Linked DNA regions of Daphnia pulex. The protein of the gene in region 1 purifies or fractionates together with the protein of each later gene. This does not show direct contact. Links are inferred from orthologs where the notes say so. Each region holds a gene or a part of one and is shown in the gene's direction. Other genes may lie near its edges.

Evidence for each region. The genes of interacting proteins can lie anywhere in the genome.
Region 2: the proteins of DNA damage-binding protein 2-like (region 1) and COP9 signalosome complex subunit 8-like purify together in Homo sapiens (affinity purification with mass spectrometry; 6 studies listed by BioGRID and IntAct, counting the BioPlex papers as one, with this or other methods). This does not show direct contact. The link is inferred for Daphnia pulex from reciprocal best matches to the Homo sapiens genes DDB2 and COPS8.

What each region holds. Positions count from the first base shown.
Region 1 is NC_060018.1:5,111,780-5,115,881, reverse strand, and holds DNA damage-binding protein 2-like, read left to right. Parts: upstream 1-1,315; 5' UTR 1,316-1,445; coding exon 1,446-1,501; intron 1,502-1,564; coding exon 1,565-1,826; intron 1,827-1,905; coding exon 1,906-2,097; intron 2,098-2,151; coding exon 2,152-2,303; intron 2,304-2,378; coding exon 2,379-2,534; intron 2,535-2,603; coding exon 2,604-2,738; intron 2,739-2,813; coding exon 2,814-2,946; intron 2,947-3,017; coding exon 3,018-3,416; 3' UTR 3,417-3,601; downstream 3,602-4,102. Other genes in the region: large subunit GTPase 1 homolog, read left to right, coding at 1-30; RNA polymerase II subunit A C-terminal domain phosphatase SSU72-like, read right to left, coding at 110-211, 280-395, 467-606, 675-818, 941-1,017.
Region 2 is NC_060017.1:2,513,575-2,516,349, reverse strand, and holds COP9 signalosome complex subunit 8-like, read left to right. Parts: upstream 1-1,284; 5' UTR 1,285-1,430; coding exon 1,431-1,493; intron 1,494-1,557; coding exon 1,558-1,628; intron 1,629-1,695; coding exon 1,696-1,910; intron 1,911-1,976; coding exon 1,977-2,212; 3' UTR 2,213-2,275; downstream 2,276-2,775. Other genes in the region: zinc finger protein 724-like, read right to left, coding at 2,627-2,764. UniProt on the Homo sapiens protein: Component of the COP9 signalosome complex (CSN), a complex involved in various cellular and developmental processes.

The sequences.
Region 1 (4,102 bases):
CGTAGAGTATACGCTCATTTGGATCAGTGAGCCTGTGTATCAAATACTGGAAATACAATTTGATGGTCATACTTCGTTTTTCTTTATATGGTAATATATGAGATGTGTATCAATAGAACAGAAGACAATGTAGTATTGGTCGTTGACATTTTGCTTCAAAATCTTGCAACATTTCATCAATATCATTATCAAGGTCATCACTGTTGGCCATCTAAATAACCAATTTAAAACACTTTAAAATAGCCATTAAAATAAAAAAAAGTTGCTCAATATTATTACCATGGACACCAATTCACACATGAGAAATGCACCTATTGTTGCCTCTTCATGGTTGTCTTGAATTTCAATGTTTACCACATGAACAGGAGTAGTCTGACTGTCTCTGCCTTCCAAGCCTTTTTTTAAATAAAATAGATGAACTGATTATATCTGAATTCTGAAATAACAACAAATTTCTCATTATTACTTTCAATCACTTGATCATAAACTCGTTCTTCACATGTAAGAATAAGATTAAATTGTTCTGTAGTCGACTGAAACCTCTCTGGGTGGGGTTTAATTCTCCTGTTTCTGTCTAACATATGAAGAAGTCCATTTCTAGTATACCTACAATAAAAATGTGTAATTGTAATGTGGATTCCTTCAAGTTTATTTGCATTTGAAGTTAACTGTACAATTCTCTATCCTTCTGCAAGAGATCTTGATAGATGTCATCATAAGGTGTCCCAAATTCATATACATTGGGTCTGTCAGGGGCTGCACCTGGTAATTTCACTTTGTCTCCAGTTCCAAATGATTGCACTCGATATCCTTTCTTGCTAAGGAAGTAATATAATAAACATTTGTTTAAGGTTATTGCGTGACAGATAACAGAATACTTCAGTTTAGAAAAGAACAACAACGATGCATAGCTTTCCGAAATAGTTAACATACAAAATACCTCAAAAAATTATGTGCTTCCATGCTGCGATTCATGTTACTTGAACAAATAACAGCTAATTTTAATGGCTGCGGCATTTTCTTTTTTATTTATAAATTGTTTAACACGACCGAAATGAATGATTCAATAAAATCAAGCAGACGAAACACCATCAACACTAATTACTCCCGCTAGGTTTCATTCCCAGTAATCTTAAAGTTATAAATGGATGGAATGTATCAGTTGATAGGCTTGAACCAAAAATTTTGTGTTAAAAAACATAGTTTGATTAGATTTAATTTATCAAAAGCTTAACAAATTCCACTTCTAATCAAACAATTATAGTAACATTTAAATCCGCTTGGGTGGGCATTTTTGTTTTTTTTGGTAGCAGACGTCTTTTATTTCCACATGGATCAGTATGAACCGGGTAGAAGTGTAGAACGTTGAATTGTTGAAATACTTTTCAAATATATTGGATGCAAACTTGAAACTTCCTAGCAAATGACTGATTTGTAAGGTCTATATGCAAATGGCACCACAAAATAAGAAAAAGAGTTCTTCAGCTCCCAAAAGGAAAAGGTTAATTAGAAAATATTTATTTTTGATACTTTAGGCAATATCGTTTGTTTTATGATTTGATAGAGATTTCTGTTCAGATCAATCGGATGACGATTTTGAAAAGACCTTAGTGCCCAAAAGATGTAGCAAATCTGTTTTACCGAAACCTGAAGCTAAAATAAGGGAGTCGGCTAAAATAAAAAAACAAACAAAATCAGATATTGCAAGTTGTTCAGTTGGTGATTTGGAAACCGCAATTAATGTAAAACCTCTCTCCAGAAAAAATTTCTTGTCATACATTACAAAAAGACAAACTGGCCAACCAATTTCAAGATGCTTTGAAAAGGTAGTATTACTCTACAATTGATTTATCAAGAATTCAACATATATATATATTTCTCAACAAACTGCTACATCATTTTCAGACCCTGAAGTTTCATGTTATGCAAAGTGTGCAACATTTGAAAGTTTTTAAGACTGCATCTCCTTTTGACCGTAGAATTACTTCCTTAGTATGGCACCCAAAGTCACTCACCACTCTTGCAGTTGGTTCCAAAGGAGGAGATATCATTCTGTGGAATCATCAGCATGAATCTCATGATGTCTTCATACAAGGAGTATTTTTCATAAAACTTAATCAAATAACATAAGATTTTATATTTATATAAAAGTTAGGGGCAGGGGGATCAATACAAGCAATGAAATTTGATTATAATGAAGATAATCACCTCTACACCTGCTCAATTGATGGAACATTCTGTAGGAGGAACTTAAGAAGTAACCAAGTTACTGTTTACTTAAACACCGGAGAAGACTGCTTCAAGTAAAACTTTTTGTTATTTAAGAAACATAATCTGGGGGTTTAGGCTTAGTACCTAATAATACCTAATATTTGTAGTAATTGGTACACCTCTTTTGATGTATCCTTCACTGGGGGACTTCTGCTTGCTGGAGATAATAAAGGATATGTAAATTTGCTTACCAAAGACGGGACTCCTATATGGAAACAACGTTTACATAAATCAAAAGTGCACCACATTGAATTCCACTCTGGGTAAGTTTAAATTGTTGGTCAACAAAACTGAATGAATTTACTTTCTTTTTTATTATTATTACCATTAAGAACGCCTTGGCTATTTGTCACATCGTCCGGCGATAATTTCGTTCGCTTGTGGGATGTGAGAAATATAAAGAATACCGAAAGCGCGCTTGTAGAACTTAAGCATGAAAAGGGAGGCGTAAATTCTGCGTATTTTAGGTACTTTTTTTTATGGAAATGATTTTTGCAAATGGCATTTTATTGAAATTCTATTTATCTTTTCGTAACTACTAGCCCAGCACACGGAACAAGGCTCTTGATTACAGATCAACACAGCGAACTGAAAATTTTTTCTGGCCCACTTTGGAATTTGGAAACAAAAATTCTCCATCCTCACCGACATTTTCAACACATTTCGCCTATTAAAGTTTGATTTTAAAATTTATAATATTTAAAATAATTTATCCTTTATGCTCTTTCGCTATATTGGATCGACAGGCAGATTGGCACCCATTAGAAGACATTATTGTAGTTGGACGATATCCAGACCCCAAGTTCACGGGCTCACAAGGAATGGATACATTTAATCCAGGAAGTGAACCCCGCACTGTGGATTTTTTCGACGCATCTGACGGGGAGCTGATTTGCCAGCTTGAGCCAGTTGGACAGAAAGGGATCATGTGCTTAAATCGGTTTGATCAATTGGGTAACATATTAGCATCTGCACATGGGGCGCATATTCTTTTATGGGCACCAAAATACTCGGAGACAAACATTCCTTCTACTAGTGATATTTGCCAAAGTGTTCAGGCACCAATGCGTCGTCCTCTTACAATGGATAATGATAATGATTTAAAGAAGAAAAAAAGAAACACTTCATCTCGAAAACAAAAATAGTTGAATATTACTAAAAATAAATAGAGAAGAACCTGCAATCTTTGTTGTAGGATACCGCTTCCTTAACTGTTCAAAACTATTTGTTTCTTTGTTTGTGTTACCTAAAATTAAAACTGAAAACAAATCAAAAATAGGAATTACCTGAATAGTTTCTGCGAAGTGCGAATACATCGGTTTCATAAAAATTGGCATTTCGGTTCTCGATCGTAGTTACTCGTTATTAGTAATTTGAGATCAGGAATAATGACATTATTGTAAACATTAGATTTGAGATGTGCACCTTAAAAGAATTTGGATCGATCGATCAAGAAAGAAGATCGACCATTGGTTAAAATGGTAAAATGGGATGGATAGATGGGATGGGGCCTTTATTTTTCTGAATGTTTTACTCAAGCAGTAGGTAGCAATTAACTTTAGTTTAGTGCATTAATGTTGGAATGTTTATTGTAATATTTTCTCTAGATTCAACATGCCAAAGTTAGTTGGAAACCTAACTCAAACTTAGATAACCGTTGCTGCTGCCTTACAGCCACTGGCAGGAAAATTATTCTTTTTTTTTAGAAAAAAAATGGAGTGGTGGAGTTCTATTGTCACGTAGTGGAGTGGACATTAGAACTCCACTACACGACAATAGAACTCCAATAATTTTTAAAATTTGAGTTTTATTGCCGACAGTAGAACTCCAC
Region 2 (2,775 bases), on another chromosome or scaffold:
AAATGGGGGGGCTTTGTATTCCTTCCGCAAGTGTGTAAACTCTTTTTTCTTCTTCTTCCTACTTTTGTGGTTCTATTCTGTTCTTGTTTTAACCGCGAACCATATGCAAAGAAACAGACACGGGGGCCCCAATTCCCATGAGAGACTTTGAAATGTTAAAATATTCCGGCATGTTGTTCAGAAGAAAATTCTAACCAAGGACACCATTTATTCTTTCTCCACCCAAACCCCCAACTCGAGTAAAATGAAAAGCCATTAAAAAATGTTGATCTTACCGGTTAAAGATGACTATCCCAGATGGGAATCATGTTTATCTTAAAGACACGTGTAAAGTTGGAACAAAATAAAAACGAAGATAATCGCCACGAGTTGTGCACACACACACACACTAACGACACATGTTTCACAGCGTTTTCATCTGTTGGCAGAAGGGAGTAGACGAATAATAAACATTTGGCTCTACAACTTGTATTTTCAGCAGTGACTAAAGAGGTATATCCTCGCACGTGAAGTTCAAGAATGTGTCTGAGCTGGGACGGCCTTCCCGTCGTCCTTAACTATATCCCAACACATTTGTATATAACGGGGAGAGACTGGATTCCCCTCGGGCTAGACTTTTGAGAATTCCCATTGGTTGTAGCACATCCCCTCCCATAAAAGAACGGCGGGAACCTGTGATGAAACAGACTGCCGCCTACTAACGTCAGTCTGACGAACTAAAAGCAAGAGAAAATCAAAATAGGAAAACCCTTTCTCAACCGCCGCCACATTTCTGCGTTAAGATTTACCAATCATTAACTTTTTTACTTGTGAAACAATTACTTGACACTTCAAGGTTGTTTGAATAAATTATCTTCGAGAAAATAAAGCCAAAAATTGCTCGATAAGGACATTAATCTTCTTCCGGAGAAAAGTCGAATTCTTTCCTCATTTTTAGGAAATTTAAAGTAAAGAGTAAAGACGCTTGGATTTGTTTCTTGTTCATAAAATTTTGTAACCTTTTATAGTTGGCCACGGTCCCTACAAAGAACCGAAAAAAAAGAGGTATTTATATGTTTTTACTATGTAGCTTTAAAACCAGTTCCCTTTATAGGGCACACATTTTCAGAAGGTTTTCCATATTTATATTATATTGCATAAGTTTGACACGAGGAAATCTCATTCATCGCCCTCATAATTTTTTTTTATTTGTTAATTTCTCCATTTGACCATTTCTCGAAAATATACTGTCCCCTGGTGTCGATGATTGTTACTTCTTGCTTCGATCGTGGCAGACGACAAAGCATTATAAAAACCAAAAACAGTCTAATTAATTGCACACTGTTGGCTTGTAGGTACGGCCAAAATACTGAAGGTTGGCTGTAACTTGAACTTGATTTAAACAATCGTCGACAAATTTCATAAAATACGTCCTGGTTTCAAAAGGGGAAATGTCGTCTAAAGTTGTTTTATTTGAAAGTACCACCCAAGAACTGGAGAAGCAGGAACTCGAGGTACTGTTGTCGTTTTGTTGACGAAAACTTGGAACAATTAATTGCAATGATGTCTTTCCTTCAGGGTGCGAGCGGATTGGTTTTAGCAGATTTGCATAGTCAGTTACTCAGTATATATCTGTGTAATTTTGACTTGTAAGTATATTAGTTACATTGTAATGACTGGTGCTAATAATCAAGAGTTTTTCTTACGCTGATGTAGATGCAATGCTAAATTTCTTTGGAAACGAATCTCAAATGAAGAGAAAACTGCATTCCCCTTACTTGGCCAAATCTGGGAGGTAGGTCAAAAACTATGGTTAAAAGAGCACAATTCAGTGTTCAGCCTTCTCAGAAACACAAGTTGGCCTCCATCAATCGAACCTTACATGACCTGTCTGGAAGAAAATCTTCGGCAAAAATCAATTCAACTCATAGGTATATAGTTCAAGAACATCCTGAAAGAAATTTTCAATGAAAATGAAATGTGTTTATTATTTTTAGGGAAAGCTTATCTGTCCATAACTTCAACCACCTTCACTGAATTGGTTGGTTATGTTGATTATCCAGAGAATGCGGAAAAATTACTCGCGAAGCTACAGGAAGAGCAAGGTTGGACGTGTGATTCTGCTTCCAAATTAATCATACCTAAGCGACAAGCCGCCCAAAACGTTCCGTTGATGCGGAATGAAGAGCAATTGCAGAGTCTTACCCAATTCGTCTCGTTCTTGGAAAATTAAATCAACTGAATACGTTACTTATGTTTATACCCAAGAAAATAAACTTGATCGATGAAACGGAAATTATTTTACATATTATTTGCATACTATTCAATTGATAGCAACCAACACAGCTCAAAAAATTAAATTAGGAACTTTGACCCCAGGATCACTCGGACTCGGCAACGAATTTCAACTCTCAACATAATGAGAAAATACCACGTGATATTTTGTTTCCCGGTTGTATTTTCACTGCTGTTCTGTGTCATGGTACAACATCTGTACAAGGGGCAACGGTTGAATAGGAAGAGAAGCTCAAAAGTTCTATGCAAAGATAATCTTCAGAATCAGAGAGGGAATGACAGATCCCACAATTAATAAGCGATTCAATTCGCGAAGAAAAATTACTAGGGCGCTTGTCATCGTGTCAATAGATCACTTAGTCTGAGAATTAGGGAACACAGACCACACATACAAGGTATTAGTATTAGGATCCCTCATAGTCACTGCACCTAGACCGTCGGTTTCTTGAATAAGTTCGTCCTCATTGATCAGCTGGAGTTGCTGAACTTCCTGCATAACAA